4 linked regions of the Struthio camelus genome follow. The protein of the gene in region 1 interacts with the protein of each later gene in a biochemical or structural test. Links are inferred from orthologs where the notes say so. Each region holds a gene or a part of one and is shown on either strand. Other genes may lie near its edges.

What was found.
Region 2: the proteins of RARA (region 1) and NCOA6 form a complex in vitro, tested with the Homo sapiens proteins (3 studies listed by BioGRID). The link is inferred for Struthio camelus from reciprocal best matches to the Homo sapiens genes RARA and NCOA6.
Region 3: the proteins of RARA (region 1) and NRIP1 form a complex in vitro, tested with the Homo sapiens proteins (4 studies listed by BioGRID). The link is inferred for Struthio camelus from reciprocal best matches to the Homo sapiens genes RARA and NRIP1.
Region 4: the proteins of RARA (region 1) and TRIM24 form a complex in vitro, tested with the Homo sapiens proteins (3 studies listed by BioGRID). The link is inferred for Struthio camelus from reciprocal best matches to the Homo sapiens genes RARA and TRIM24.

Annotation. Positions count from the first base shown.
Region 1 is NC_090966.1:6,907,196-6,914,880, reverse strand, and holds the start of RARA (retinoic acid receptor alpha), read right to left. Parts: upstream 3,012-7,685; 5' UTR 2,957-3,011; coding exon 2,779-2,956; intron 1-2,778. UniProt on the Homo sapiens protein: Receptor for retinoic acid. Retinoic acid receptors bind as heterodimers to their target response elements in response to their ligands, all-trans or 9-cis retinoic acid, and regulate gene expression in various biological processes.
Region 2 is NC_090959.1:623,513-631,382, reverse strand, and holds the start of NCOA6 (nuclear receptor coactivator 6), read right to left. Parts: upstream 3,006-7,870; 5' UTR 2,907-3,005; intron 1-2,906. UniProt on the Homo sapiens protein: Nuclear receptor coactivator that directly binds nuclear receptors and stimulates the transcriptional activities in a hormone-dependent fashion. Coactivates expression in an agonist- and AF2-dependent manner.
Region 3 is NC_090942.1:112,855,386-112,863,332, forward strand, and holds the start of NRIP1 (nuclear receptor-interacting protein 1), read right to left. Parts: upstream 3,011-7,947; 5' UTR 2,910-3,010; intron 1-2,909. UniProt on the Homo sapiens protein: Modulates transcriptional activation by steroid receptors such as NR3C1, NR3C2 and ESR1. Also modulates transcriptional repression by nuclear hormone receptors.
Region 4 is NC_090942.1:64,646,470-64,653,627, forward strand, and holds the start of TRIM24 (transcription intermediary factor 1-alpha), read right to left. Parts: upstream 3,002-7,158; 5' UTR 2,927-3,001; coding exon 2,533-2,926; intron 1-2,532. UniProt on the Homo sapiens protein: Transcriptional coactivator that interacts with numerous nuclear receptors and coactivators and modulates the transcription of target genes.

The sequences.
Region 1 (7,685 bases):
CCGAGCACACACACGTGCACACGCGCACACGCAGCCGGCGCGGCACCCGAGGCACCAAGCACACACACGTGCACGCACGCACACGCAGCCGGCGCGGCACCCGAGGCACCGAGCACACGCACGTGCACGCGCGCACACGCAGCCGGCGTTGCACCCGAGGCACCGAGCACACGCACGTGCACGCGCGCACACGCAGCCGGCGTTGCACCCGAGGCACCGAGCACACCCACATGCACGTGCGCACATGCAGCCGGCGCGGCACCAAATGCACCGAGCACACGCACGTGCACGTGCGCACACGCAGCCGGCGCGTCACCAAATGCACCGAGCACACGCACGTGCACGCGCGCACACGCAGCCGGCGCGGCACCCGAGGCACCGAGCACACGCACGTGCACGCGCGCACACGCAGCCAGTGCTGTACTGAACACACTGAGCACGCTCACACACGTGCACACACATGCACACCCAGCCAGTGCCGCACCGAATGCGCCGAGCACGCTCGCACACGTGCACACGCCTGAACGCACAGCCGGCGCTGCCCCGGAGGCAGGGCACGCGCACAGGCGCGTGGAGACACCGGCAGCGCCGGCTGCGCGCGCATGGACGCGGGCACCCGCGCAGCCAGCTCTGCACACAACGCGGGGTTCGCGCGCTCACAAGCGGCGCTGGGCAGGCTCGCGCGCCCCGCACCGGCTGCGACGCGCCCCGCCACGCATGCGAGCGCCAACGCAGCCCGCAGGCACGCGGGACCGCCAGCCCGGAGGGGGCACCCGCCCCCACCGCCGCAGCCGGTGCAGCACGCCTGGGCCCCTTCGTGCCCGGCGCGGGGCTGCAGCCGGGCGCCCGTCCCCACCCCGCGCCAGGGAACCGCAGCGCTCGGGCCGGCGGGGGCTCCCCGGCCCGCGGTGCCCAGGACGGGCCGGGCTCCGGCCCCCCGGTGCCCCCCAGCAGGAGCGCGGGGCAGGCGGAGGGGGGCGCGCGGGGCCCGCGGGGAGCGAGACGGCCGCCCCGGCTTCCCAGGGGGCCGGATACGGCGCCGGCAGCCCAAACGCCTTGGAACGTTCCCGGCGGCTCCGGATGCGCCGCCGGCCCGGCCCGGCCCGGCCGGGGCGCCGCCGCCGCGCAGCTGCAGCACATCTGGCGAGGGCGGGCCGGCAGCCGCGCTGGGACGGGAGGTGCGCGGCGCGGCGAGGAGGGGGCCGCCCGCGCGGGGCTCCTCCGCGCTCTCCCAGCCCCGGCCCCGGGGTCGGCGGCCCTTCCCCGGACGCCTGGGCTCCCTCCCAGCTCGGACGCTGACCCCGCAGCACTTCCCTTCCGCGGGGACGTCGCTCCCGGGCCAGCGCCGCACCGAGGGGGACGCCGGCCCCTGCCCGGCGTGCCGGGGCCGAGCGCGAGGGCTCTGCGCGGCCCCCCAGATCCTGCAGCTCCCCCGGGACCCTGCGGACTCCCGGAACAGCATCCCGCGGGACCCCGGCCCATCCGGACACGCGGCATCCCGGGACTCTGCATTTCCCCAGACGCGGCATCCCCCAGACACGGCCTTCCCCGAAATCCCGCTGCACCCCACAGGTGACACCCCCCGCCCTGCCCGCAGTAAGGCCAAAGGGAAACTGAGGCACGAGGCACCGTGCCAGCAGGGAGCCGAGGCGTCCGGGCGCTGGGGCACCTCCAGGCCTGCCCGACACCCCGGCGATGCCCCCCACACCGTCCCCAGTGCCGGGGAGCGGGGGGGGGGGGGTGAGCGCACCCCCCCCGTTCCCACAATGCCGTGCAACGGGAATGGCCCCCGAGCAAGCGCGGGGGAGGGGCCCCACCCACCGCCACCCAGTGGCTGAACTGGTCCCACTAGGTCCCAGTGCCGTCGGGGCGGCTCCGGCGGGGGACAGCGCCCCAGGCCGGCCCTGCCCAGGCCTGCACCGGCCCCCCCGGGCAGGGGCCGGGCCCCGCCGCACCCCGACCCACGGGGGCCTCCCCGGCGGCGCGCGCCCCGGGGCGCCCGGGAAGGGGGCTGCCCCCCGCCCCGGCACCCCACGGCACCCTGGGGTGGGGGGGCACAGGCGCGCGGGGCAGTGCCGCCGCCAAGCCCGCTTCCCTCCCCGCCGGCGGCGCTGCCGGCCGGCCGCCCCCTCCGGAGCCAGCGCCGGGGAAACTGAGGCAGGCGGCGGGCCGAGGGCTGCGAGGGGGGATCCAGGCGCGGCCCCCTCCCCGGCTCCAGCCGCTCCCGCGCCGCGGCCGGTCCCCGGCCCCCGTGATGGACGAGCCTGTCAGGGGCAAATTGAATCAGGAGCAGACGCGATGATTGCGGTTATCGCTTCCCCCGCAGGCGGCCGGGGCCGGGGCCGCCGCCGCACCGGGGGGGGGGGGGCGAACAAAGAGCCGGGGCCGCTTCCCGCGCCGTTAGCAGCCGGGGTACAAACACCGCCCTTAACGAACGGGGCCAGGCTGCGGCGATCAACCCCCCCGGTGGCCACCACCGTGCCTCAGTTTCCCCACGGATGGGGGGGGGGGGGAAGGGTCCCGGCGGCTCCCCAGCGCTCGCCCCCGCGCCGGGGCAGGACCGCGGCGGACCCGGGGCCCTTCGTGCCGCGAGGGGTTTGCTTATCCTTTCGGCCCTTTTGTTTCCTGTTATTGCAGCTATTTATAAAGCTCAGGGCGGGCGAAGCGGCGGGGGGGGGGACGCCCCCCGGCCCGGCGGCCCCCGGCGCGGGGCAGGGCGGGGGGGAAGCGGTGGCCGGCCGGGTCCCCGCGGGCGTCCCGGAGCGCGGCGGTACTCACTGGCGGGCGAGGGCGTGCTGTATCCGCTGACGGGCAGCTGGTGCGGGATGCCGGCCAGGGTGCTGGGCGGCGAGAGCCCCCCGATCATGTGGGGGAAGAAGAAGGCGTAGTGGGGCACGGGGTAGCCGTTGAGGTGCCCCCCTGCGGGCGTGGGGCAGGAGCTGCTGTTGCTGGCCATGGCGGGCGGCTCCGGCGCGGCGGCGGCCTCACGTGCGGGGCGCCGCGGCCCGGCAGGGCATGGGGCCGCCGGCCGGCCCGGCGCGCTCACCACGGCCTCACCGCTGCCCGCCGGCGGTCCGCGGCGCGTCCGGGGGCCGAGGAGGCGGCAGCGGCTCCGGCGACGGCTGCGGAGGGAGCAGAGAGAGGCGTTAGCGGCGGCGGCGGGGCTGGGGCGCCCGGCTCCCCCCCCCCACACCCCGACCCCGCTCCCGCCCGCCGCGGCCGTGCCTCAGTTTCCCCAGGCGCCGGGAGGAGGCAGCCGTGCGGGGCCGGCCCCGCGCTGCCCGCCGGGTTAACGACGCCGAGAGCCGGGGCGGCAGGTCTCTAATGCCCGGCTTAGCGGGCCGGGGCGGCGGAGGGGCACCCCCGGGGCAGGGTCCCCGCGCGCCCCCGGCCCCGGGGCGCCGCGAGGGAGCCGCCGCGCTCCGGCGTCCACCGAGGACAGCGGCTTCGCTCCGGCCCAGCTCCCCGAGGACGCGGGGGCAGCGGCTCACGCGCTGCCCGGCCACACGTGCACCGAGCGCGAGGGGGCTCAGCCTCGTGCCTGGCCGCGGCCCCGGGGGCCGGGGCTCACCCAGCCCCTCTCCCCACCGCCCCGCCGGCTCTGCCCAGCCTCGAGCCACCCGGCCCAGCGCAGGGGCCGGCGCTCGCCCCGCGCCGCGCTGCCGGCGGCGGCTCCCGCGCCGGGCACGGACCCCGCGCCAAGCCGGGCCGCCGGCGAGGGCGGGGGGCCGCCGGTGGGAAGGGGGGCACGGGGCTTTCACAATCCCGGGCTGGCTGTTTATTTAAGCGCTGGCGCGAGGCCCGGCGGGGGATGTTTATTTGCCGAGAGCGCTGGCTCCCGGCCCCGCGGAGGCGGAAAAGGATCCAGAGGAACAAGGCTGGGCCGCCCGGCGAGGCGCTGGGGAGGGGCCGGGACGGGCACGGCCCTGCCCGCTCCTCGCCTGCCCCCCGGGGCCGGGCCGGGGTGCTCCCGGCCACCCCGGGCAGGGTGCACCCGCCGGCAGGGCGCCCCGCGCTCCTCCCGGCCCCGGCGGTGCCCGGCGCCCGCGCTCCGGCTGCCCGCCGGCGTGGGTGCCCAGGGCAGGCGATGCCGGGGTCCCGTCCGCAGCCCCGCGTGGGTCACCCTGCCGCGGGGCACGGGACACCCCCTGCCCTGGGGTGCCGCCGCGCCGGGCCTGCGCCGGCCCCTGGGTGCAGCCCCCCCCCGGCGAGCCCAGCCTGGCGCCGCCGGGAGGAGACGGCCTTCGCGCGGGGCCGTGCCCCTGGGCAGCACCCGTGGGTTCCCCGGGGGCGGCGCAGCAGCCACGAGACCCCCCCCCCCCGCCACCCTGCACCCCGGCAGCGCCCGGCGCGGGGCCTGCCCGCGGGCCCCCCCGGAGCCGGGCCGGCCGGGGGGAGCGGAGGGGAGCGAGGCGCGGGAAGAACTGTTTATGTTCGCCGGTGCCAAGTGCTTGCCAGGCACGGCGCCAGGCTCCGGCGGGGCCCAATTACTCAACCCTGCTCACGCCCCCCCAGCGCACCGCGGGCCTGGGAGAGAACAGCGCCAGCGCCGCCTGCCAGGGGCGGCCCGACCGCCGCGAGCCCCCTCACCCAGAGGGGACGGGGGCAGGCGGCTGCAGGACCGTCCCGGCCTCTGCGCGCCGCCGCGGGCGGCCAGGAGGGCTCCCGAGACCCGACGCAGCCCTGCTCCGCGGCCCCAAAGAGGGTCCCCATCCGTGCGCTGGCCGAGGCAGAGCCTGCTTAGCTTCGGGCAGGGGCTGGCCCCCCAGCTCGGCCCCAGCCCGGCCACGCTGCACCCCAAAAGCAGCCGCAGCTCCTTTGCGGCGTGCTCAGACCCTCCCGGTGCCCGGCCGGCCGCGGGGCCGCGGCACGGGGCTGGCCACGAGGTCCTGCGTCGTCTCCTCTCACCGGCACGCCGTGCCAGCGAGGGGGCACAGGCCCTCCGGCTCGCTGCTGCTGCCCACCACCAGAGGCGAGGGAAGAGCCCGGCTGATCCCCCTGGACCACCGCGCTCCGCTCCCCACGCTCAGGGCTCCAGGCAGCAGTCCCGGAGGGACCCCGCTCCAGGCAAGCCCTGGGGGGGCAGCGGGAAGGTGGGGATGGGGCCGCACAGCCGGCGGCGGGGAGCCCCGCGCGGTGAAGAGCCCCCTCGCCCTCCCCAGCCCGGCCGGGCAGGCGCCTTTTCCTCCAGTTCCCCGGCAGGAGCTGGCCGGGAATCGGTACTTCCTGGAATCCAGAGCCTCATTCCAGCCCCGCAGAAAACAAGGCCATGGAGCTCGGGCCAAATCCCAGCCACGAGGAACCTCCCGACCAGGCTGGGGGCGGCCCCAGGGAGCGGACGGACGCACGGACAGACGATTCCCATGCCCAGGGTCTGCCGGCAGCCCCCGCGCAGCGGGGCAGGACACATTGCTGGGGTCCCCCAGCCCCTCGAGCCAAAAAGGCCCAAGACCAGGGCACAAAGCCCACCCCACTGCCCGCGCTCGCGGGGCAGGGTCGCATCCAGCTCCCCCGCGCCCGGCACGGCCAGCGCTGACTGCCGAGCAGGAGGGCTTGCAGCGGGGCAACGCACCGCGATTCGCGTCTCCAGCAGCCATCCCCAGCACCACCTGCCAGCCCTGGGAAGGGACACGCGGCATCCCCATCCTGCCCCATGGGGACCACGGAAATGCAGGGGGGACCGTCCAGGCCAGGAGGGGCTGGCAGGGAGGGTGCAGAGCTGGCCCAGCCTCAGCCAGCACCCCAAAACCCCCAGGCGCGCCGCCCGTCTCATGCCACCCAACCCAGGCGTGCTTCCTGCCGGGGCCGCGCGGCGATGCCAGCACCAGTGCCCCGGATGTGACACGCCAGGGAGCAGGGCCGGGGTGCCACCCGGCGCCGCGGGCACCGCCCTGCCCGGCTAGCACCGCGGGGGCCACCGGGGCCAGGGTAATGGCAAATCCAGGCTGCGCTCTTGGTGCCTATCGGGACAGCGGGCAAACCCAGTGACCGAGCCCTTCCTGTCATGCCTGCGACCGCAGCGCTCCCGGCCGCAGCTTCCCCTCGCCGCTCTCGATTCCCGGGGCCGCCGGGTTTCGGTTCAGCTCTGGCCCCACGCCACCTTGGACCCCAGCCGGGGCTGCCCCGGCCCCGCTCCCCGCGCCGGGCACCCCGCGGCCCCCGGCCTCGCCAGGACGGTCACGGGGGCACCCCGAGCCGCAGCCGGGGCCCGCGCCGCGGTGCTGGGGGACGGGGCACCGGTGCGGCGGCTGCGCCAGCAAGGGGGGCGGGGGGGGGGGGGCTCTGGGCACCCTCGCCGCCTCCCCCACGGGCATGGCAGGAAGCGCCCGCGGATCCGCTATGCGGTCACAGCCTGCGGTTTCCTCACTGCTGTCAGCAAAGCGGCCGGGGCGGCCTCACACGCGAGGCCGACGGCCCCGGCCACCCCGGTGCCTCCCCAGCCGGGCAGCCCCGGGGCCGCCGCGGCTCCGCCAGGAGGGGCGCAGCGAGGTGCCCCCCGGGAAGGGCCGGCGGCGAGACCCCCTCCCTGTATTCCCAGAGCATCCCGGCCTCTGAGTCAGCGTCACGTTTCTCACGTCCCCGGGCAGGCGTGAATCATGCCCCAGCCGAGCGGATGTTGCTGGGCCGGAGCCGGCTGCACACGCTCCAGCACGGGCAGCGCGTGCCGCAGCCAGGGCTGCCCCGGCCCCGCCAGGGCGCAAAGCCACCCCGGCCAGCGCGCTGGGGGGCAGCTCCGGCCCACGCAGGAGTCTCCAGCACCCCAAAGCCCCAGCACCCCATGGGCCAGCGGGGACCCCCATCCCCGGCAGCGCCCCCCAGCCAGACCCGCTTGGGCAGCCTCCGCTTCCCCTTGCATAGACAAACCCGGGGCCGGACCGGCACACGACCGGGGAGGGCCCCGGTGCTGGCTGCGAGCCCTGCGCTGCCCCATGGGGACGACGTCCTGCTCCACATCGTCCCCGAGCACGGCGGTCCCTTGCCCACCCCACACCAAGCGGCGTGCCACCCTGCTTCCCCATCCCCGCCGGGGCGCAGACAGGCGCTCCGGGGAGCTGCCGCCGGCCCCCACGGCACGGGGCCCCCGGCACCCCCCATGTGCCGCTGCCGGGGCTGGAGCTGCAAAATGAAATTCCACCTGTCGCAGCTCAGCCTGCCCGGCTCCGGTTACGGCCAGGAACGCGCCGCTCCGGTTACACCTCCTACACCCGCCACCAGACGCGCCATTCTTCTCTGGCAACAGGTGCCCCGGCCCCCGCCGCGGCCCCCGGGACAGGCACGGCCCCAGCTGAGCCGCAGTGGCCCCCGGCCAGCGCCACAGGCACCGCTCCAGCCTGGCGCGACCGGCACGGCTCTGGCCTGGGTGCTGGGCTCCCAGCTCTCTCCGGAGCCCTGGAAGGGGGCAGCTGGAGCAGGGTTGCACCCCAAAAGGCTCCAGCAACTCTTGGAAGTCAACCCTATCTGCCAGCCCCTTGCACTGCAAGCCTGGGAGCCCCCACCTCCGTACCCCACCGTGGGCACAGGGCTCCCAGCCTCCGCAGCACAACGGAGGGAGCACCCATCCCAGCCACCTGACCCCAATCCAACAGTGCAGTCCCTCAGCCGAAGCCAGGGGTGCAGCCCCAGGGAACTACAGATCCCAGCATGCACCAGCCCTGCCCGGCGCCCCCCTGCTGGCATGGCCGGCC
Region 2 (7,870 bases), on another chromosome or scaffold:
TATCTTTTCAATTTTTGTACAAATTCAACCCAAACCCCTATATAGGGCTATGCTTTGAGACTACTCATTCAAGCTTGTGAAGACGACAAAAGTCCTCTCAGTTCCAAAAAGGTGACAGTTCTTAAATGTTGTAGAGTCCACTAAGCACCTTCTTTCTTACCAGAGTTCTCAGACCAGTTACACTTTTTCCCTCCTATTAATTAGTCAGGAGACTAGACAATTAAGAGTTTCATGAGCTTGACACACCATCTAGAACCAAACCTTAGCATTCAGCTATCGATTTGTACAAACTAAGGAACATATCATGTGGCTCAAATGTTCAATTATTTAAAATATGTAGTTTCTTGCAAAAGAACACTAGTGATCTATTCTGGTGGTGACAGAAGAGTAGGTAACACTGGTAGAGTTAAACATCAAATAAAAGACAAGGTGACCATTCTCTTCGTAAAGCAAAGTTGGTAATCTAGCCAACAGATGGAAAATATCACACCTGGATTTGGTGATGCATCCTCTCTGCCTCAAGTTTGTGTTTGTCTAGAATTATTTTTTCTTTCCATTTCCTCCCCTTAACTTTTCCCATTCTCCATATTGTTTACCCCAATTTCCTCTCTAGCCCAACAAAAACGAGTTTATGCTTGAACACAATTTGTGCAATGCAAGACATTTTCAAGGTTAAGTGATGTTGTTCAGCGGTCTACGTATTAACAGACCTGTACTGTTTACCAGTACCATTTACTATACACTACAGGGTTTGTATTTCTCAATAGGGACCACATGATTTTGAAACAGACACCAACATCACGCCTTCTGCCTTTCAGAGGTATGCTAACGATATATACAACTTCATTATTCCCAATGCAATCAAACTGTTACAGCCATTTTAACTCCTTTATATCTTCAGTAGCAAATCTTTTGCCATTGTAAATCTTATAAATTCAGTGTGTCTATGTAACTTAACTGTGACTACAATTATCATCTAAAAGCAATCAACATAGTATTAGAAAATAATAAAATATACTGTAAAGCTGTTTAACAATTCAGTTATCAGTTTAAAGTATTCAACATCTGCAAGGGTATGCAATATCTGACGGTATTGTACTTAAGAAGACCAAAGAGCAATATTAAGATTGCTTATCAGAATTTAGTTCTATACCCCAATATTTTCAAGTATTCAAGCAACTGAAAAATTAAGACACGAATACTTAGTTTATGAATGTCTGGTTTTCCCAGGTTTCCCACACTAAAAAAAAAAAAAAAAAAAAAAAAGGATGCAGCCTTTTCTCTGCTAGAAGAGTGTAAAATAACAGCATCAGTTGGAAGCCTTTTGTAAACAACTCCTCCCTGCAAGTTCTACAGAAGAATAAGTCTTGATGGCCTTTTTTGAAAGATACAAAATTTACGTTCTTTGTGGTTGCTTTCTCATATGTGAAATACTGAAAGATACTTTTGTTTTATATCTGTAAAGAACTAGCCAGAAAGGCTGCAATGAAAAGTAATTGTGAAATAAGTATCAATATAAGAGGTACTGTCTTTCCTATAACTACAATTCAGATTAGCTTATTCACAGTTCAGTAAAGGTAGTAAGCCCAAACGTGCATGCATCTGGAAGGTGAGGGGTTATGAAGTGTTAAAGACAAAGCTCATAAACTAGAATTTGCAGCCAGCTTTCAAAACCAGAACAAGCAGAGTGACAGGAGAGCTGCCACTTCCCGTTTCCCCTGTTCCCTGAAGACATCAGAAGAAATCGGAACCCTCCGTTTTCTGAGATGTTCCAAAAAGCAAGTGAAATTCAGAAAAATGCAGAAGTCAAACCACGGGAATAAGATAAAAATACCTTTTTTATTACTATTTTAAAGAGATAAGGAAGAATGCAAACAAAAGTTTGCAATCAAAGAAACGTCAGTGCATCTTCACTGACATCCCCAAATGATGTCAGTGCCTGCATGAGCTCAGGGCACGGAAGTTAAAATAAAAGACCATGTCCTCAGTTAAAAAAATAAAGTTCCTGATAGCACTCTGACTGCTTTCTAGTATTAGCAAGAAAGACTTTCCTCCTCCAAGAAATAAAAGACTCTGGCACAGCACAGCAGAATCAGCCAGTTACCTCCTTTACCTTGGAGGGATCAGTCAGTCACAGGCCACAGCCAAAGGCAGACTATTACTTTTAGGTTTACACAGGTTACAGCAGCACAACAGCTGCAGGAAGAAGCCTTTGAGATCTAAGTGCAGGGAGAAACACGGCTACTTTTAAGGAATCCCACCTCCAGGAGCCACCTCCTGACGTGTGGCCGGTCCACCTAAGAGGCTGGAGGCCACGGACGCCGGCAGCGGGCTGACACGGCGGTCCGGACGTGACCGCGGGCCCGGCGCACAGCCTGCTCCGGCGAGGGCTCCCCGCCAGCACCGGGGAAGCAAGGCAGCTCCGCGCACCCGCACGCCACGGAGGCGGGCAGGGCCCCGGGCCGCGCTCCCCGCGCGGACGCTGCTCTCCAGACGAGCCGGCTGGGCAGCCCCGCTGGGGCACCCCGGAGCCTCCCGAGGCCGGGGCCTGCGCGTCCCCCCAGGCGCCCGGCACGGCCGCAGGCTGGGCTCGCCCGCACGCCACGGGGCGCCCCGGGCGCAGACCCCGCCGCGCGGGGGAGGCCGCCGCCGCCGCCGCCGCCGGGCCCGGCCCAGGCGCCGCGCCGCACCGCCGGCCCGCGCCCTCCCCGCGACGGGCTCGGCCTGCTCCCCGGGCCGCCGCCACTACCGGCCCTCTGACATTGCCGGGGCGCCGCTTCCGCTCCGCCGGCCTCTGTCAGCCCCGCGGCCGCGGCCTCGCGCTCCCGCCCGGCCCCGCCGGGGGCTGAGGGAGCCCCCCCCCGCGCCGCGCCGCGCCGCGCCGCGCCGCGCCGCGCCGGCCTCACCTGCCGCTGGTGCCGCTGGTGGCGGCCGCGGGGCCGCCGCCGTGCCCGCTCCGCGAGCGCGCGCGGGAGGGCGGGGGCCGCCTCGGCGAGCGGGGGCGCGCGGCCCCGCGACGGCAGCGGGCGAGGAACGGCCCGGGGGGGGGGGGGGGGCGGCCGAGCGAGGGGAGGGGGCGGGAGGTCGCCGTCGGCCCTGCCGAGCGCCCGGGACACCCACCCCGCAGGCCGGCCGCGGCTCCGCCTCCGCCACCGCCTCCGCGCGGGAACACGTGACCGGCCCCGCCCCGCGCCGCCAGCGCGCGCGTGCGTTGGAGCGGGCCGTGCGCGCGCCCGCGCCGCGGCGGGAGTGGGCGGGGCGCTCCGCGAGGCAGGCGCGCGTCGTCCGCCTGCCGAGGGCCTGCGGGCCGAGGGGGCGCGCACCCCTCCGCCCCGAGAGCCTGGGGGACGTGCCGGGCCCCCGCGAGGGGGATGCTGGTTTCCTCACCCGCAAGAGCCTGGGGGACGTGGTGGGCTCTTGCGAAGGGGGACGCTCGTCCTCTCACACTCGAGAGCCTGTGGGATATGCTGGGCCCCCTGCTAGGGGGACACTCTTCCCCTCACCGCTTGGGAGCTGGCGGGATATGCTCGACCCCCTGCAAAGGGGACACTCATCCTCTCCTCTCTGAGGCCTGGGGGGACATGCTGGGCCCTCACAAAAGGGACGCTCATCCTCTCCCCCTCCAGAGCCTTGGGGACATGCCAGGCCCCTGTGAGGGGGATGCTGGTCCCCTCACCCCCAAGAACCTGGGAGATGTGTTGCTCCCCCCCCCCCCATGCAGGGGTCGCTCTTCCCCTCACCCCTTGAGAGCCTGGGGGACATGCTGGGCCCCCTGCAAAGGGGACACTCATCCTCTCACCCCTCTGAGAGGCTGTGGAGCCCCCATAGTGGGGCCCCCACAGAGGGGGAGGGCAGCCTTTACCTAGCACCTTATTGTGTGTACCCTCCCTCACTTGCCTGCCAGCCCCATGTCCCCAGCACAGACATGCAAAGGGGAGAGTGTTCCACATTTAGAGATGGGGACACTCCCGCTCCATGCACGTGTTCATCTCCACACTGCTGCTCAGGGTGGGGTGGGTTTGTGCCCTTCCTTTCTCTATACACAGGGAGTTTCCTCTCTCACTGTCCTGTATTGTATACACGCCCTTCCAAAGGGAAAGCCTGATTCCCCATGGAGAAATTGTGGACACTTTTCCCTCTACTGAATGTGAAGGGCTGTACGCCTTGTTGAAAAGAGAGACAACTGAATGTCCTCAGGAGTCCGTCCCTGATCTCCCTTAGGGAGACCTTGATTCCTACCCCTTGGAGAGAGCATCTTGGAAAAAGACCATCCTCTCCTTCTCTGAGGACGCCTCATCTTTAAAAGATCCCCGGAGAAAAGCCCAATTCCCACACTCCACTGAGACACTGGGGAATGACCTACCAAGCATAAACATCCTAGGGACACCCTCTCACACATTAGCACACTGAGCGGGATGCTCTCACACAGAGTCCCTTTCTGGGAGACCCTTGCCTCCTCATGCCTTTACGGACTGGTGAGTCACAGAATCACAGAATCACAGAACGGTTGAGGTTGGAAGAGACCTCTGGAGATCATCTAGTCCAACCTCCCTGCTCAAGCAGGGCCATCTAGAGCATATTGCCCAGGATCGTGTCCAGGCGGGTTTTGAATATCTCCAGGGAAGGAGACTCCACTACCTCTCTGGGCAACCTGGGCCAGTGCTCTGTCACCCTCCCAGTCAAGAAGTTTCTCCTCATGTTTAGATGCAACTGCCTGTGCATGCAGATGTTCTTGGGGAAGACCGAGCCTCTTCCACTTAGGGGTCAAGACAATCCCCTCCTAACATGGACCCAGCCTAGACCCTACTCTGCTGAAGCTCTAGGGATTCCTCCTTGTTTGGACAGCTGTGGGGAAGAACATTCCTTTCTGCAGACTGGGAAGGGGTCAGAGATATCCCTCCCCAACATGTATGAAGACAAAAATCCCCCCTACAGGTAAGGTGGCAAGGAGAGTCTCAGCAGAGATCACGGCAGAGAAGTGGGCAAAAAGTTATTTCCCTTTCTCTTTGAAGAGAGTCTATCTCTTCCTCTGGCCACACATGCAGAGCTTCTTCTCTAGGTGTTCCCAAGGGGAGAAACTTTCTGAGCTTGGAGCATGGGAAGCCTCCTCCCTAACTACTGAAAGAAACATCCAACAGTTCTGCATTGCAGCACATGAACGTAGATCGCTGGCGTATCAGGTTAAGCCATGAAACCTAAATTAAAAGCCATTTTTCTCACTAGCGAGAGAAACTGGTGGACAGCATGACTCCTGTTAGATAGCCCTAAATACTGTAGCTCTTAGCCCAGTGCAACTTTTTGCAAGTGAAAGCGATGCGTCCTTCACAAGGTGAAAGGGCAGTGGGAACATGTATGCAGATGTGTTTGACGATGCGGGCTTTCAATAAAGCCTTTCCACATTTGGAGAGATCCCTTGCATCACCATTCAGATGACTGATACTTCACTTGTGATAACTTTGGAGGCTGTGGGCTTTGTATCCAATTCTGTAAATTAAGAGAGACATGGCGCTACTGGAGAGAGTCCAGCGGAGGGCTACAAAGATGATGAGGGGACCGGAGCATCTCTCCTCTGAAGAAAGACTGCGAGAGCTGGGCCTGTTCAGCCTGGACAAGGCAAGACTGAGAGGCGATCTCATCAACCGTGTACAAGTATCTGAAGGGGGAGTGTCAAGAGGATGAGGCCAGCCTCTTCTCCGTGGTGCCCAGCAACAGGACAAGAGGCAGCGGGCACAAACTGAAACAGAGGAAGTTCCATCTGAACCTGAGGAAAAACTTCTTGACTGTGAGGGTGACTGAGCATTGGAACAGGTTGCCCAGAGAGGTAGTGGAGTCTCCTTCCCTGGAGATATTCAAAACTCGCCTGGACACGATCCTGGGCAATATGCTCTAGAGGTCCCTGCTTGAGCAGGGAGGTTGGACTAGGTGATCTCCAGAGGTCCCTTCCAACCTAAACCATTCTGTGATTCTGTGATTCTGTGAAATTAGTAAAAGGTATTTCCTGGATGAAGCTATAAAGAAAAATCAATACCTTTCCTAAAAATTAGCAGGAAACAAAGTTTGAATACAGATAGTACCTTTCATATGAAGATTTCAGACTTTATAAATATCAAGAACTTATATCTTAGTCTACTACTGGGGAGATGGGGAAGAAAGCAGAGAGAGAACTGAAAGATTCAAATACAGCAAAGGCCACTACAGTGAATTTTTTTAAAAGTCCATTTATCTGATTAATGAACAGGACCACAGTCTTGCAGTCCTCTTGCATGTGGGCAGATGTTTACTTCCTAAAAAGACACAATAACACAGAAGGGCTTTACAACAGAGATTTACTCACACCGAACAGCTTGCAAGACATGGAACCGTCCCAGGAATTTGCTCTTTATCCTACAAACCTTTATTAATATGAAAAATGCTAAAATAATATCGAAAGACAGTGATACTGCAGAAATGTCTGGTTTTCTTCCTGCCAGTCACTGCTTTAATCAGAAAGGTATGAGCCAGTGGTGGTAAAGCAAAGAAAGACATGGCAACTATTATTTAAGGCTGATAAAATAATCAAAGGTCTAAAGAGAATATTTTGGGGAAAAAGTAAAGACCTTGATCCTGCAAAAATATGTATGATTAACATTAGTAACTTGAGCACTGACTTCAAAAGGGGATAGTGTTGTCCTGGGAATCTGACTTACTCTGCTCATATCTTTTGAGACAGGTTGAAAACATGAGGAAGCTGATAAAACTGCAAGCTGAAAGACTTCTTTAGTATCTGAGAATTACCTTTCTTCCACGCTTCTCTTCATACCTGCAAGGGGTGCTTCTCAACCCGGATGCATTTAACTTCCTCCTTGTAAACAGCCTAATCTTCCTGAAAAGGCTAATACATTTCACCAACTCTTGCACAGAGTTAGATCACTTAAAAAATCTCATGCTTCCCATAAAACACTGCTATCTTTGTTGTAATTACAAACTTAACGCAAAGTTTTCCTTCAACTTTTTTTTATTTGCTTGTTTCTGTATATATTATCTACATTGATGCAGGGCACATCTTGTACACTGTAGCAAACAATAAAAAGTAGAACAATTATTTTTCAGACTGAGTTTTCAGTCTGAAAACTGAAAGTTTCTGAGGCACAATATTAATATATTTCACTAAGTTCTGCTCTAGTGATCTAGATGCTATAGCTTTCTGATCTGGACTTAAGAAGCTCTATGTAGATAACCTTCCTGTGTCTAATCACACATGGAGGTTGTGAAAAAGCTCTTCCTTCATTTGCAGCTTGGTGTCTCATATATCCATTTTGGACTTTGTAATATGCTTCTCCTGATTGCTTTTTCTTATGCTTCTGCTTGCTGTTGTAAATGGCCAAATAGACACAAACTCGGCATGATTATAATTAATCCCCATTCTATCAAAGAGGTGTAAATCAGCTTTGCCAAGAGTGTAAGAAACTAAGGGAAGGATAGAGCATATATTCAGCTGACTCAGACCTGAAGGGACATCAAGGTGAAAGGACAGGTCTGAGTGAGAAAATCCTGATGAGAGAGTACTGTGGTGAGGCATCTCTGTCCGACGCTGGTGGCTAGAGGAACCAAAAGAGGGTTTTACCCTCCAGTATATTGCAGCTAGTGAAAGACCTTTATCTCATTGGCTGCTAATGCATGGAGCAGGAGACCAAAAGGCAGATGCCTGCTGGTGGCAAGAAGGGAATAATGTGATGTAGAGGACTGTGGTGGGAGGAAAGGGGACTTTCTCCCATTGAACTTGGCAGTCTGAGGAAGCTGTGGGAGGAGCTATACAGGATACTTCAAACCCCACTGCCTTGGCTTCCTGATGCCTTGTATGCACAAGTGGACTCACCTCTGCAGTGATGTG
Region 3 (7,947 bases), on another chromosome or scaffold:
AGTCTTCCAAAGGAAGTCAGTTGATACAACTGCCTGCATACGTGCCCCAATTCATTTGACTATCTTGCAAAACTTCTGAATTTCCTGGGTAATTTCAATCAAATTTTAACAAAATGGTAACAGTTATAAAAAATATTTTGTCAGATAAAGTTGTGTACATCTATAGATGGTAGGGTAGAGGAAAGATAATCGCTCTACTGAGGAGAAGTTGCCATGTTAATTTATTACATACAAGGAAACCTATGTATTAAGCAAAATCTATAGGAAGTCAGACTTTAACTTTTATTGCCTATGGCACTACTTGTTTTCTACACACATGAGGTACTTGGATAGCACAAGAACAAGGTGAACAGATAGATGCATTTTTCAAGGCATCAGCATTACCTTTTTTATGTATAGCAGTAACTGTAGAATATAGTAGTAACTGTATTGATGCAATAATTCAACACATCTGCAATGAAAGCAACTATAACTGAGGAAATAATGGAAGGGTCCAACGAGCAACCTCTATTTGGATTTCATGGCATCCAGAGGCTTTATGAATGTTTTTAATAGGGAGATTTGGCTTAGAATACATGCTTAGTGTACATATAGGATATCTCAGGGAGTGATTAAGGAATGTAAGTCAAGATGATAATAGTAGTCACATCTCTGGCCGGTGTCTAGTCTTAGTTATCAACATGTTTAGAAAAGTCTATTAAAGTTTATTCTGAGTTAAATTTCCATGAGTTAAAATGGAAGCCATGCTTTTTCATTAGGTCATTATCCTCCAAGAAAATGTTATTTTACTAGGTTTCTGAATACATTGCAAGTAGGGGAAAACAAGTAGAATCAAAGGCATTTTCAGTTTATATTTCAACCTAAGAATCAGATTTCTGGAAAAGGTCCTTAATATTACGTTATAAGTTTTTCTAGAAGGTCAGATTTCATTTTATTCTGTATACAGGTTACTGGGTAAAGAAAAAAAAATTTGACTTTCGTATTCTATCAATACTTGTATTTCCGCTGCTGAAAAAACCACCAAGCTATTTTAGCTGAAGGCAAGGTTATCTAGCCATCCTCGATTTGGGGCAATCAGCCATCAAAAAACAATTCCTGGGAGTAAACACTACAGTTAGAGACATGCAAATAAATGCTAGAGTTATAAATAATAGTGCTACACATGAAAGAAAAACAAATCAAAGGGATTTCTACATGAAGCAAATCTGTATTATGCCTCCTACTGAGTTGTTGTTATATCTTCATGTACTCTGTTTGGGGGGTTTGTTTCTTTGTTTTTTTTCTGTAAGCAAAGCCAAGCCAAGCCACATGTTCCAGCAGGGTAAATCAGGTAAAGTCATTTGTATTTCTTTTAATTTTTGGAAACAGCCTACATTCCTCTGTGTCTTACTCTCTGCTCTAGTGTACCAGCGTAATATGTCTCTCAACCCAGAGCTCAAGATGATTTAATATAATTTAGTATTAAAAAAAGACTTGTTTAGTTTTAAATTGTGTGACACAGTTGAAGATGCTGCTAAAAGATTTAGATTCTGCTAAAAGAAAAAAAAATTAAACAAACTGTTACTAAAAATCAAGTATATTTTTCATATTAATTTATGACAAGGTTGCCTTTGGCAAACGGTCAACTATAAGGCTTGAGAGGTGAAGGAGCATTAGCCTGCTAAAGGCAATGAAGGTATGTTGATCTGCACCAGTATTTGATTTGGCCAAATATTTGGAAGGGACAATTACAGCTTAGAAACAGGAGGTCTCTTGCTTAAAGGGAGGGGCCTTGTGCAAAAGTTAGAACTGAAATGCTGCTCAGACAATAAGCTTTAGTCTTCCATGAACCTCAGTGAGGATTCATTTGGAGTAACATTTGGTGCTGTGCAGGAGACTAAAGATGGCCTATTCTTCAGCCAAGTTCAGTTATATTCTCCCATATTTAGGGCTCCCATAATGCCCATGGCTCTTGCTAACTATCTATAAAAATATATCTTTAATTCCCCCTCACACATACACACACACACACACACACACACACACACACACATTTCCCCCTCCCCCCATTCTAAAAAGCTAAAAAGAGGAATTACATAGGTACAGATATTGAACCCCTGCAGCGATCATTAGTTTCCCAGGGTGTCCTGGGTATCAAAGATTAGATCCAACACATATTAGCATTAACCTCGTTGAAGTTTAGAGTCATTTCAATCTCAAGTTAAAAATCTTTAAAACATTAATTAGGAAATGTAAATATATTTGCAGATTCATACATGTCCTTCAAAAAGCATGTAATCAGTCATTTCAGTTAGTACAGCTGCACTGTCAGAAATGCAAGAGTAGATTTCCTATAGAAAAGCACCTAAAACAAAAAGAAAGGATGACAGTAACATATACACACACATTAGGAGCCCTTTTCTCCATATAAGCTCCCTATCCATTAAAACTGTAATTCATGAACAACATCAGCAACAAAATAATACTCCTTAAAATTTTGCTAGAAATTGGAATACAGAGTGGACACTGTAAAATGAAATGCAGCAGAGTAAAGAAACTCTCTGCAGTCAGGCATAGGAGCCTCATAAAAGCTACAAAGTACCATAGACTGTACTGCCGTAATTTACTTGTCCCTCACTTTCTTTTTATCCTATGCAAGCAAAAGCGGCACTGGAAATTATAGAGCAGGCAAAGCAGAGCCACACAACTTCTGAGATGTGGCAGCAGCTTCTGTACTGAATTCTTACATTACATACATTACATTAACATTTCAAGGCCTCACAGATGAGACCAAATTCAGAGAAGTATGTATATGAGAGGTATATAAAGGAAAAATAGATGAGATCAGACCATCCTAAAGCGTACCCCAACTTGTTTCCACCCACTCAGAGTATCAGGAACTATAATCTAAACTGGTGTAGGCTACATACCAAGCAGACAAAAGTAGATATGAGAAACGTATGGTTTTGAGTGGCAGATATCTATTTTATGATATTTTCTGTTGCTCTCCAGTTTCTTTTTCCCCACATCTGCTCTTCTTGGCTCTTCAGACACAACACCTGGATATTTGGGAAGACTAATTTCAAAAAATGAAAAGGAGTTACTTGTGTTTCCAAGGGTAGGGGGTAGAGGAATCACTCTTCAGATGGCATATAACTCCCAGAATTCAGAGAAAGAATTAGGACAAAATGTCAGTTATTCGTTCATAAAAAGAAAGCAAAACATTAAGACAATTACTTCCTTAGTGATATCCCCATTCGACACAGAAAAATCAAATAAATTTGCACCCCTCAGTAGAAATTCATCTACTTATACCTATTACTGTCCCAAAAATTAGCATCCAGCCTTTTAGACATACCAGCCATATACCTTTACCTGTCATTACACCCTTGCAGACCGGAAAGAAGCTGAACAAGTAAACAACGAGAATTATGGTCTTTAAACCAAAGGAATGGAACTATATTATGGTCAATAGTGAGGACAGCAGGATCCAGGTTCCCTCTCCCAAGAAGGATAAAGAGACTGACCCCAGAGCAATTTCAACCAGTGTGAAGAGCCTTATGCTTCTCAAAACCAGACTCACAGAGAGCACACAGGACAAGGGCACTTCACTGCCAGCACAGCGACTGCGCATCTGCACCTCCGAATCACAAGCCCGCATATGCCACTTCTCCTCATTGCTATACCCTGAAGTCCTCATTCAAGCCACATTGTTGTTCAAGCTAAGGGGGATTACCATTGGGGACCTATACAGCAAAGAATTGGTGATCAAGCATAATAGACAAGTCATTACCCGAACCTAATAATTCTGCAGTAGAAACAAAATGATGTTCATGTTGATTTTTTTTCTATAATCATTTCATATTGATATAGAAAAGTTAAGATACTGAAAGAGTATTACTCACAAGAGGAAATTTCTCCTGTCCATTCTACGTACATGTAATTTTTAAGGAATGAGCCAAGGGTATGGAAATGAAAACTAATGAACTCCCTGCCAAATATTATAGATTCCCTAAGTTTAACGCCCTTTTCATAATCCGCCTCTCACAAAAATCACAGTGCAGGTTCAAACCTAATTCATTAACTGCACCTCTTTAGTTAAAGACTATGCAGCATGCAGGCCTTTTGCTTATTTTTTTAATTCAAAGGCCGAGTAGGACACTTAAGGTGTTTTAATAACAGCCCTATATAATATCTACTTTTTTCCAGTGTACACAGTTTGACTGTGTTTTTTGAAGGGATAAATAGAGGTTTTTGAATTCAGTGATCGTTAGACAAGTACAGCACAGTATTTCTGGGTTTTTTTAGAGGCAATATTGACCAAAGACTATTTTCTGCATAAAGTGACTCTTGCATATAGTCATAGCCTAGCACCAATACAGTATCGCTATCCATGTCTGACAGGCAGATTTTCAAACTGCATGGATCAATTAGAAAGTCATGGGCAATAGTCAGCAGGGGAAACCTCACAGTCTGTCTAAAGAATACAGTTTTCGGCAGCCCATGCTCCATGATGTACACTCATGATCCCCCTGTAACTCAGGGAACATAACTTTACCACTTGGAGACCATACTGCATTGTGGAATTCACTCTCACTGCCCAAGACACTAAAAATTGTTTGAAATCAGGTTTGTCAGCTCCATTAAGAGAAACAGACCTTCTCTCACCATCAAGACAGACCCATAAAAGGTCTTACGTAATGCTAAATACTAATGGCCTTTGCACTGCACAAATCCCAAAAGGCAAAGCCAGCAACCCAATTACTTTTTTTTTTTTTTTAAATAAAGAAAAAGTAGCCAACAACACTTTCTAGACAATGAAACTGTAAGCGTGCTGGAAGAGAGAGAGCTCTGTGCTTTGCCACTTGCCTAACTCTCATTCCCACTTACCAGTCTTACCAGGGCTTTGCCTAATACAGCATTTTGCAGCTGCTCAAAGTGCAGATTTCCCTCCCTCCCCACGTAGTAGCTGGGAAATGCTGGGAACCAGCAGCTGTGGAGATCGATGTTGGCTAGGCTGAGCAGAAACGCTAAGGCATTTCTCATCACAATTATGCAGAACCAAATGCCGTAGCTGTTAATCAAGCATAACTCAGTGGGAGCTTTGCTCAGCTGAGTAACAGAGAGTTTGGCTCATTCTAGCTGGAGGATTAGAGCAGCACAGCAGAAGCCATTCGGTTCTCAAAACGGAGATTAGCACCCTCTCTTAGCACACGGGAAAGCACCCTTCCCCTGTCTTCACCTCTACCAGTCCCTCTAACCAGGGGACTTCAAAAGGAAGGTGCATATGAATGAGTGATACTGAAAAAGCAGGGACCAAATCACAAAGGAGCACGGGGCATTCACTTTTCCTTTCTCTTATCCCAGCTTGCATGCTTATAAACTCTCTTCTCCTCCTGCCCTCAATAGCTGGAAAACGACAGCATTTAAGTCCAATCTGAAGCATAATCCTAGCATACTTTCTAAAACCCTTGTGTAGCCTCCCAGCCATACAATGACCTGTGGTCAGTTTGTTTCCACTATTGTGATCCTTCTCCTAGGAGGCTCTGAGTGATCCGGGTAGCTAACGTCCTGAAGCCTGAGGTCTCTGCTCTTGCAAAACTCCAGTCAATGTAGAGAAACTAGTTAATAGGGGGGGGAAAAAAATAATTTACCAGTTGAAAAAAAATTAAAACTTTTTTTAAAGTTATATTCATTTGTCCAAGTGAGTGGATAAGGTGCTCAGAACAGGTGCATCCTGAGCAGGAGAGGACATCATGAGAAAGTATCCTAGGCTGGAAAGAATATACTGCAGACACAAGTGCTAACCATGCCATGGTGTGCTTTCTCTAATGTCACATTACTCTTTCTTCGGGCTCCTTGGTTACTCAAAGAATCACTTTCTCTGGAGATCCTGAAGATCTCATCCTGTGAAACAAGACAGACGGAGGTAGTAGAATTGGACCAGGCTGAGCAGGAAAGGAATAGAAAGAACTAATATTGTTGATGTTTGCAGTTACAGGCAATTATTAATTTTTTTTCCTGTTTTTGAAAATATTATAAGCCTATATCAATAATCCTCATAGAAAACTCCAGCAAAAAATATTATTTCTACTTCTTGCCACTAAGGAGTTAAGACCTAGAAACTTTCATAATCAATTTTATTTCGCAGTGAAATTCATTTCAAACCAGATCCTAATACCAGTTTTGAAACAATCTCTAATCTGTAGATTGCAGAAGGATTTTTGATCTCCATTTTAAGCTGGAGAAAATGCTTCTTCTCCCCCTCCCTCTAGCACTGGAAGGTTGCGTAACTGGCAATACATTTGCATCTATTTTATATTTACACTAACTCACTGCTTGGAACTACACTTGCATTGTTTCACGGCTTATTTATTTTCACAAACAAGTGCTGTAGAGACTTGCATTTGCGCACTTCTGTGGTCCCCCTGAATTCAAGGAGATTATTCCCAGTGTATAGAATTAAGCAGTACATAAATCTCTGCAGGATCTCAGCCAAAGAGACTGTTTCATTAGGAAACAATAATGAGACATAGCCTTGTGCTAACTCTGTGAGCCAAATTCTGTCCTCAAAGACACAGGTTTGGTTGCTTTTGGGAAGGGGGCAGTTGCCAAACACCCCTGGGATGCAAGCTGGCCGCCTGGCCAGCCACCCCATGGATGAACATAGGGTGTAATTTGGGCATGGGTCTGCTCTGGGCAGGGGAGCAGGGGCACAAGATGACCTCTGTGCCTCTCCACCTGCAGAAGGACGAGTTATATTTCACAAAGTATTTGGTGATCAGTGTGAAGACATGGTGGCACTCTGGAGGCAATATAAATGCATTTTTGGCCTGGCACTCCAGCTAAACTTAATTCACTTCGGTCTCTCCTCCTTCCATTGTCTTCCAAGGCCCTCATTGCAATGGGGATCACATCATAGGAACGTATCTATATAGGTTTAGGAAGCACGTGCAACTTTTTATAATAAAAGGAATAATAGATAGCTTACATTATTCATAACGTAACTGATTTCATTTGCATTATGCTTTACTTTCCAGATTTTTAAACAAGGACATCCTAATAGAACTGTACAGGCAAATTTCTTCTGAGATTCATGCTCTAGAACAAAAATAAATGTCTTCCACAGAAATAGTTATTAAAATGAACATTACACATTGTTAGATTGTGGCCTAAATTGACAAGGTTAAAATATAGTCCAACATCTTCTGTCCTGCATCTTCTGTCTCTAACAAAGAGAATAGCTATAAAGCTTTAAAACAATGACAGGGGCAAAAAATAAAGTGTCAGGCACATTTAAAAAGGAAAGCAATACACATCTAAAAGCTCCCCTGAAATAGTGTTTGATGGCTGCTTAAAGAAAAGGAAGCGCCTTTGAGTCAACCCAAACCATCTGTGAAACAGTAAAATGGAAGGAAAAAAAGCCCAGAACAAACCCAACAACAGAATAGCCAAGGCAACAAGAGAGTGACTGGAGGCAGACAGGCGTTGATTCTCTCCTTTAAAATTCACAATCATGTGTTTCTTCCCCAGAGATGCTGTTCACGTGCAGTGGCTTCACAACATTTCCTCTAGAAAAAGAAAACATTGCAAGTAAATATGTTTGCATTTGTCACTGACTACATAGACACTCAACTAATTCAGGCGAGTAAATCTGTTTTAAAGGCTATCACTGATAATCAGCTGAGAAGAAAACACCGATCTTCAACCAAAAACCGACCTGATCTCTTGCCTCTTCTATTGAAAGAGCCATGGAAATTACAGACCCTCCTAGAAAGAAAGCAGAATCAATGGAATTCTTCATTCTGGATACTTGAAAAATCTGTTATCTTCTTTATATTAATCTAGAATTTTCTTGGAGTACAAAGCAGGAAAAAGGAGTTCTCTTATTCCTTTTTGTTTCATTTACTCCTGTCTTCCTCAATGTCAGTAAAATTCTTGAGAATGACTTTTTTTTTTCTTGCAGTC
Region 4 (7,158 bases), on another chromosome or scaffold:
ATTCCTCCAGTTTGTTCTTCAAATACCTCACACAGCACATTACCAGAAGAGATGACAGTTTTGCACTGTTTTGTCCCTCCTGCTTTCTGAGAATTTAGGAACTCCTCCCATCGTAACACATTTCTCCTCAGTATAATCAGTTGTAAACAGTGACACCATTTCTTAAATCCTAAACTGAGTTTACAACTGTTTGATATCAGTTGGAAAACAAAACAGCTAGTGCACATTATCAAGTCAAACTTTAGTTAGCTAGCATACAATCCATTGCCATTTCAACAAGACCAAAACAGTGACAGCAGAAGACCTAAGTAATCTGTCAAGGAGAGTGTGAGTTCAATAGAAGTTCCTCCTTTCTACTGGAGGATGAAAAATAGCATGGAAGCATGCAAGTAACTAGCAAAAGATGATGATAGGGTAAAAATAACGTCACTGAACATGTTACATCTGTAAATTTGTAGAACACGGAAGTACATACACTGTATTATTCATTCCCACTGTTCCAACTCATATAGACAGAATAATGAGCGAGGTGGCAATAGTAAATTGGTAGTTCTATTTTTCTCCGTCTCCCCCGCCATCTCTACCATTTGTCCTCTCTTCACTAGATCTTTGAACAACACCAACCTTTTCTTCTTACAATGGATCTTGTTTCTTACCCCAGCTACAGACCTCTAGTTCTGCTATATATAAACAGGACATCTGTGAATTGAGCTATGCCCTTTATGACTCAAAACTCATGAGAAAGTGATTATATGATCTCTGAGCCTACATCACAACAGCAGCTAGCTGCTTCTCTGCCCTCTTTCTCATTTCCAAGCATTTCATCTTCAAATATCCTATCATCGACCACACTTTGTGCTTTTCAGTTCTTCTTAAGCAGGATTTCACAATTCTTTTACTCCTAGACTTACCATGAGCAATACACCTCACATGCCAGCCAAGTTTAAATGCACTGGGTTTGGGTCTTACAGATTTTCCCATTCTGGAATCTCTGGCTAGGCAGTTTGACTACTACACGAACTGCATACTAATATTAAAGACTATTGAGAAGTATTATTTAAAACAAACAAAAAAATTCCTACACAACACAGACATCCATGTAGATAAAGAGGCTCAGCATATCAGGCTAATAAAAAACTAACCAGGCCCGATCTCAGATACTCTGAAGCAAGTTGTCTCTCCCAATTGTCTCAAAGACTCCTTTCTCTCAAGGTATACCTCTATGAATCGCAATGGTTGTAAGCTAGCTAAATAACTTTTGCACGTTCAAGTTGTGGTCCTTCTGGGCAGAACTACTGGCAGCATGGGAAAAGCTTCCAATCTGCAGTTCTGAAATATGCCCAAAGGACAACGGCCAACACTCACCCAAGGATAACTTATCGGGAGTTACTGTTCTCTTCATGTTTGATTTCTCCCTTGACCCTCCCACTATACTTCCCTGTAAGCAAACTACCACTATCCATGAATTCCTAAGGAGAAGCTCGATTTGAATCACTTCTCTTTTCCATGCAAAAAACTCCAGGATCTTCACCCATTTCTGCTAGAGGATACTTGCTTGCACGTTCTTCCAAGACGAACTTGCACTCAACAAAATAAAGCAACTCGCTAAATCAAAGACAGCTAGAAGGGAACATCACAAAAGTAACTTCAGCTTGCAGTAGTTTACCATAGATATCCTCTACAGCAAAATGCTTTTTAAATACATCCACTCAAGCCACTGCTTCAGAACACGTGCTCTCCAAAACTTCCTCAAGGCGTTCTCCTTTCAAAGTGACAGTTAAGCAACTTGTAAATAAATGCATTACCAGCTCTACCCAGTCTACCAATCACGTGGACAGTGTCAAGTGTTAACGCTCGCTCCTGCTTCCTACCGTCTAAGTGTTTGAACCCTCCCTCCGGCTAAGCCCCCTGTAAAAAGGGATGACACCTGCAGGGCGTCCCTCTCGCTGACCTCTGCGGCACCATCCTCCCAAATTACCAGCCCAGAAACATTACTCAAAAAGTCGGTTAGGATCCTGGCTATCAACCGGTACGTTCTTCTGCTCTGCGCTCCCCACAGCATCCCGTATTAAGATTTTTTTTTTCTCTCGGAAACGGGGCGAAGGAAATCCCTCCAGCACGCAGAAGCCCCCGCGGGGGCGGTGGGGGGGGGGGGTAGCGGCGCCCCACAACGGTCCCGCGCTGCGGGGGGCGGGGAGCCCGGCCGCCGCTCCCCTCCACCCACACAGCGAGGTCCTGAGGAAGTGCAGATATATCGCTTTCCCGAGCGAAGAGGGAGATTTAAACACAAAAATTAAAAAGAAAAAAAAAAATCAAAATCCCAAGCGCCCCCACTGGCGCCGCGGGGGGGGGGGGAAGGCTGGGCACAAAGCCCCCCGCGGAGCCCTCCGCGCCCCGGCACCTGCCCGCGCCCGCCACCCCGCCCTTCCCCCCCGCCCCGCGCTGCCCAAACTCCCGTCGCGACAGCGCCTCGCCCTGTCGCGAGGCGCTAACCCCCGCGAGGCCGGGGGCGAGGGCAGATGGGCCACTTACCGGGCGTGCAGCGCAGCGGCGAGGCGGGCGACGAGCCCGGCGAGGAAGGGGGCGCGGGCGGCGGCTCCTTGGGGACGCCGGCGGCCGGGGAGGGGATGGCGGGGGGCAGCATGAGGTAGCGGTCGGGCTGCGGCAGGCAGCGGAGGCAGACGGAGTGGAGGCAGGGCAGCAGCTTGGGCCGCCGGCTCTGGATGGGCTGGCCGCACACGCCGCAAGTGTCCAACAGGTTGAGCGGGGCCGCCTCGCCCCCGCGCTCCGCCGGGCCCTGCCGGCTCTCGGCCTCGTTCTCCCCGCTCAGCGCCGCCGCCCGATCCGCCGGGCAGGGCGCCGCCGCCGCCGCCGCCGCCACCACCACCGCTGCTGCTGCCGCCGCCGCCACCGCCGCCTCTTCCATTGTCCTGCACCAGCCGCCGCCGGAGCGCTGAGGGGAGGCGGGGCGGCCCCGCTGCCCTCGCTGCCGCTGCCTCCCTGCCTGCCCACCCGTCCGCCCGCCCGCGGCGCCGCGCCGACCCCCGCCCCCGAGCGCGGGCCGCGCTGTTTGTGTTCCTAACCCGGGCGAGGGCTGCACCCGCCGCGCAACATGGCCAACGGCCGCCCAGGCCCCGCCCCCTCCCCTCCCGCGCCACCGCCCCGCCTCCCTTTCCCCCCTCCCACCACACCACGGGGCCCCGCCCCCTCCCGCCCGCCCGGCCCGCGGTCTCGGCCCCGCCGCCGCCGCCGCCGCGCCTCGCCACAGCGCCCCGCCCCCTCGGCCCCGCCCCCTGCCGGGCTACGTGCGCCGAGCGCTTCTCCCGCCCCCGCCGAACCCCAACGGACCCGCTCGCCAGGCCCCGCCCCCTGCGCGGACGGTTGGCGCGGCCCTTCCCGCCTTCGCACCCCTGGGCGGCCCTAGGGCTACCCACCTCCCCTGGGGCCTTCTGCCACCCCTCACCCCATCCCCCCACCCCGCCCCGAGCCACACATCCCGCCTTAGGGGCGTCCTGCCCCGCTCAGCGCAAGCTGAGTGAGCTCAGCGAGCCCAAGCCCCCTATCTGCTCACCCCCGACCTCAAATGGCCACCTTGTCCTTTCGGTGAGGGGCCCGGCGCGTGAGGCGTCACACCAGGAGGGACAATCCGGCGCTGCTCCCTCGCCTCACCCTCCGCCGGGCTGCGGTGTGCGTGTCAACACGCGGGCGGCCGAGCCGCTTGGCACCGGGGCCAAATGGGCAGCCATGTCCCCACGTCCTCCAGACTCAATTTGGGGCAGAGGGTTTTGCCCTCCCTTCAGAAGTCACTAAAGAGGTTGTTTTTGTCCCTCATTTTATGTGTGGGTTGTCTGTGTAAATGTTGGCACTTGGTCAGTTTGGCATGTTTTGTCCACACAGCCATTTGCGGGTGTAATAACTCTCTGAAGTTGAGAGGCAATCAGTAAAAAGTAAACTGTAAAATCTGATTTAGACTCAACATTTTATTGAAATAAATGCTCATCCCCCTTCTGCTACTTAAGAAAACATGCAGACGTAAAATAACTGCTTGAGTGTTGGTCACAAGTCAACAGTAAACTGATGCAAACTCTTCGACAGCTCTGCTGTCGGGGGGGCGATGCGTACCAGAAGACGATTAGGAGGAGCAACAAAGTATTCCCTCAGTGCCAGAAGCCCTGGGAAAGCGCGCATAATATGAAGACTCGTGTCAGTGCCAAGACGGACAGGTGCCCGTGAGCCATCAGAATGCAGATATTGAAACTAGGGCAAGGACGTGAGAGAGGGAAGATAATCTTAGTGCAGAACGCGGCTTTTATTAATGTAGCAAAGCAAGTGTAATCAGTAAACACAGCTGTATTCTTACATAATAAGGGTCCGGTATGCAAGAGAGGACGAAATGTGAAATAAATAATCTTGCTTCACCATACGCAAGGTTCGTGTCTTCATCCCCACAAATGGTGCCCAAACAGGGACTTGAAGAGTGAAATCCGGTGGGGAGCCCAGCTGAACTCGATAGAGGCTGCGCAGCATTTGTTACCATTACCTTCACGGAAGGTAAGCAGCTGGGAACATGGGGAATTCTGTATCATCAGAATATAAATCTGTGTACAAGGTTATGCAGCGTTTTTTAGAGAAACGGCGAGTAACTGTAAAGGAAGAAAAAGGAGCTTTCAATTTGGATTGCAGCGCATGTTGACGAAGCTAATACGAGTAATATATATAGTAAGGGGACTTGGGATACCATTGGGGTGTGTTTGTGGCATGCTGCAGCCTCGGATGATCCCGTCGCCCCTTCCTTCTTAACTACTTGGTGACTTGTATTTAATGCATTAGATCAGAATCACCAAGAAAGTATGCAGAAGGCAGCTAAAACGCCTTCTGCTCCTCCTATGCGGAGCAGTGAACCTGCGGAGCCATTGGATCCTGGCCCTGTAGACCCTAAGAAAGAACCAGATCTATTTCCTCCGCAAACTCCTGAACCTGTTATATCAACGCCGGTTGTTACGCCTGTACCTCCAGTAGATCGATGGAAAGAAGCGCGAGCCCAGGCATTGGCGGAAGGAGACCTTGAGTGCCTTCAAGCCGTCACAATGCCTGTCCTCCTGCGCGAAGGTCAAGCCCCCACTTGGGAAGGTTTTCCTTTTGTCTTAATAAAAGAACTTTGAAAAAGTATCAAAGGCTCTGGGCTTGCCTCTCCCTATGCATGGGGCTTGATACAATCGGGTTTTAATAATATGATTTTAACACCTAATGACTGTTGTACGCTGACTCAGCTTTTGTTGACCCCCACGCAGTATATGTTATGGCAGCAGGCATGGCGGAATAATTGTGATCAAGCGGCTGTGACTAATTTGGATCGGCAGCCAGGAGATCCGTTGTATGGAGTAGGCACCGCGGTACTTTTGGGGGAAGGCCCCTATTGGGAACATACAGCGCAGTTATGCATTCTCCGGGGGGCGCTGGCGCAAAGTCAAGAAGAGGCATTAAGAGCATTGTTAAACCTCCCTGATGAAAATGGGAAAGGATCTAAGTCATTTGAGACGATCAAGCAGGGTGCTACTGAAAACTAAAGGCAGTTTGTCAATCGCCTTCATACTGCATTGGAAAGACAAGTGGATAATTCCGAAGCTCGAACAATTCTATTAAAACAAATGGCAGACCGATATTACTCACATCCCGGACTTTGGTGTTTTTTGCTTTGTCCATGTTTCTCTGGATACCTATTCTAATTTACTGTTTGCCAGTGTTCATCGCAGAGAGCGCGCTTGGGGTGTCTGCGCTCACTGGACGCAAGCTTTTGCTTTTACGGGTGTGCCTCATACCATTAAGACTGATAATGGTCCCACATATGTCTCTGTGAAAATTCGTTCTTTTCTTCAAGCCTAGGGAATCCAACATTTAAATGGTATTCCACACAACCCTACCAGGCAAGCTTTAATTGAACGTGCCCATAGTACTTTGAAACAGATGCTCTCTAAACAAAAAGGGGAAACCGAGGGGTATGGGACTCCTCAAGAGAGAGTGGCAAAGGCCTTGTATGTCCTTAACTTTTTGAATCGGGTCCGTGATGAGCAGACCCCTGTTGCCTCCCATCTTAACTCTTTTTCACATCTTCTTCCCTCAGGACAGGCACAAGTTATGATCTGTGATCTGGACTCCGGCCAATGGAAAGGACCTTTTTCTCTGATAACTTGGGGGAGGGGTTATGCTTGTGTTTCTACAGGTACCCAGCCTCGTTGGTTCCCTGCTCGGTGTGTTAAGCCCTATGAAGTACCACGCCAATTTTGTAGCGGAGAATCTGAAGAAGTCGTGGCGTAGTTCTGGGAAATAATATGTTATTTCCTGCAATAATATGCTTTTGTGTTATGTCTGGAGAAACAACGGACGTGGGCAAAGGGATGTGGCCCTCTGTCTCCGAACGACCTGATCTTTGGGTAACTATAGCCAATGCCACAGGACAGGACACTGTTTGCCTGCCTGTGGCTTCGGCTGCTAACCCTTTTCAAACTTGTCTGGTGGGTCTTCCAACAGACGGAAAAGTATATCAAGTTTGTAATGGTACCCCTGCCGCCCTAACGGGCTGTAGTCGGTGGGGTGATGTTTGGGATGGTTGGACGCCCTACCTACCGGTGTTACCTGGGGAACCACAAGAAATAGAGTTATTAGGTTCTGTGCAGATGGATCAATGTATATATTTCAATTATACAGGACAAAATTCCTCTCAAAGGGGAATCACTGTTGTTAATGCTACTTTAGCTGTTTATCGCAATACAACTTTATGGTGTAATGTAACTAGTACAAACATTTCTAAATCCAGGAACGACCCTTTGAAATTACCACAAGGAGTGTTTTTGATCTGCAGCAATCGTGCCTGGCAGGGAATCCCATCTCGCGTCACGGGTGGTCCGTGTACCGTAAGAACATTGGGAATGTATTTGCCCAATTCGACAATGATTCTACAAAAACGACAAAATCGCACTAGACGATCTACACATCTTTTTCAAAAAGATTGTAGAGATTATCTTACTTTCTGGAACCCAGGAGAGATTATTACGGCATCCATTTTTACTCCTGGGGTGGCTGCTGCAAATGCTTTAGCAGCCTTAAATAAATTAGGGTGTTGGCTTGCCAATCAGACTAATAATACTGCAACGGCACTGT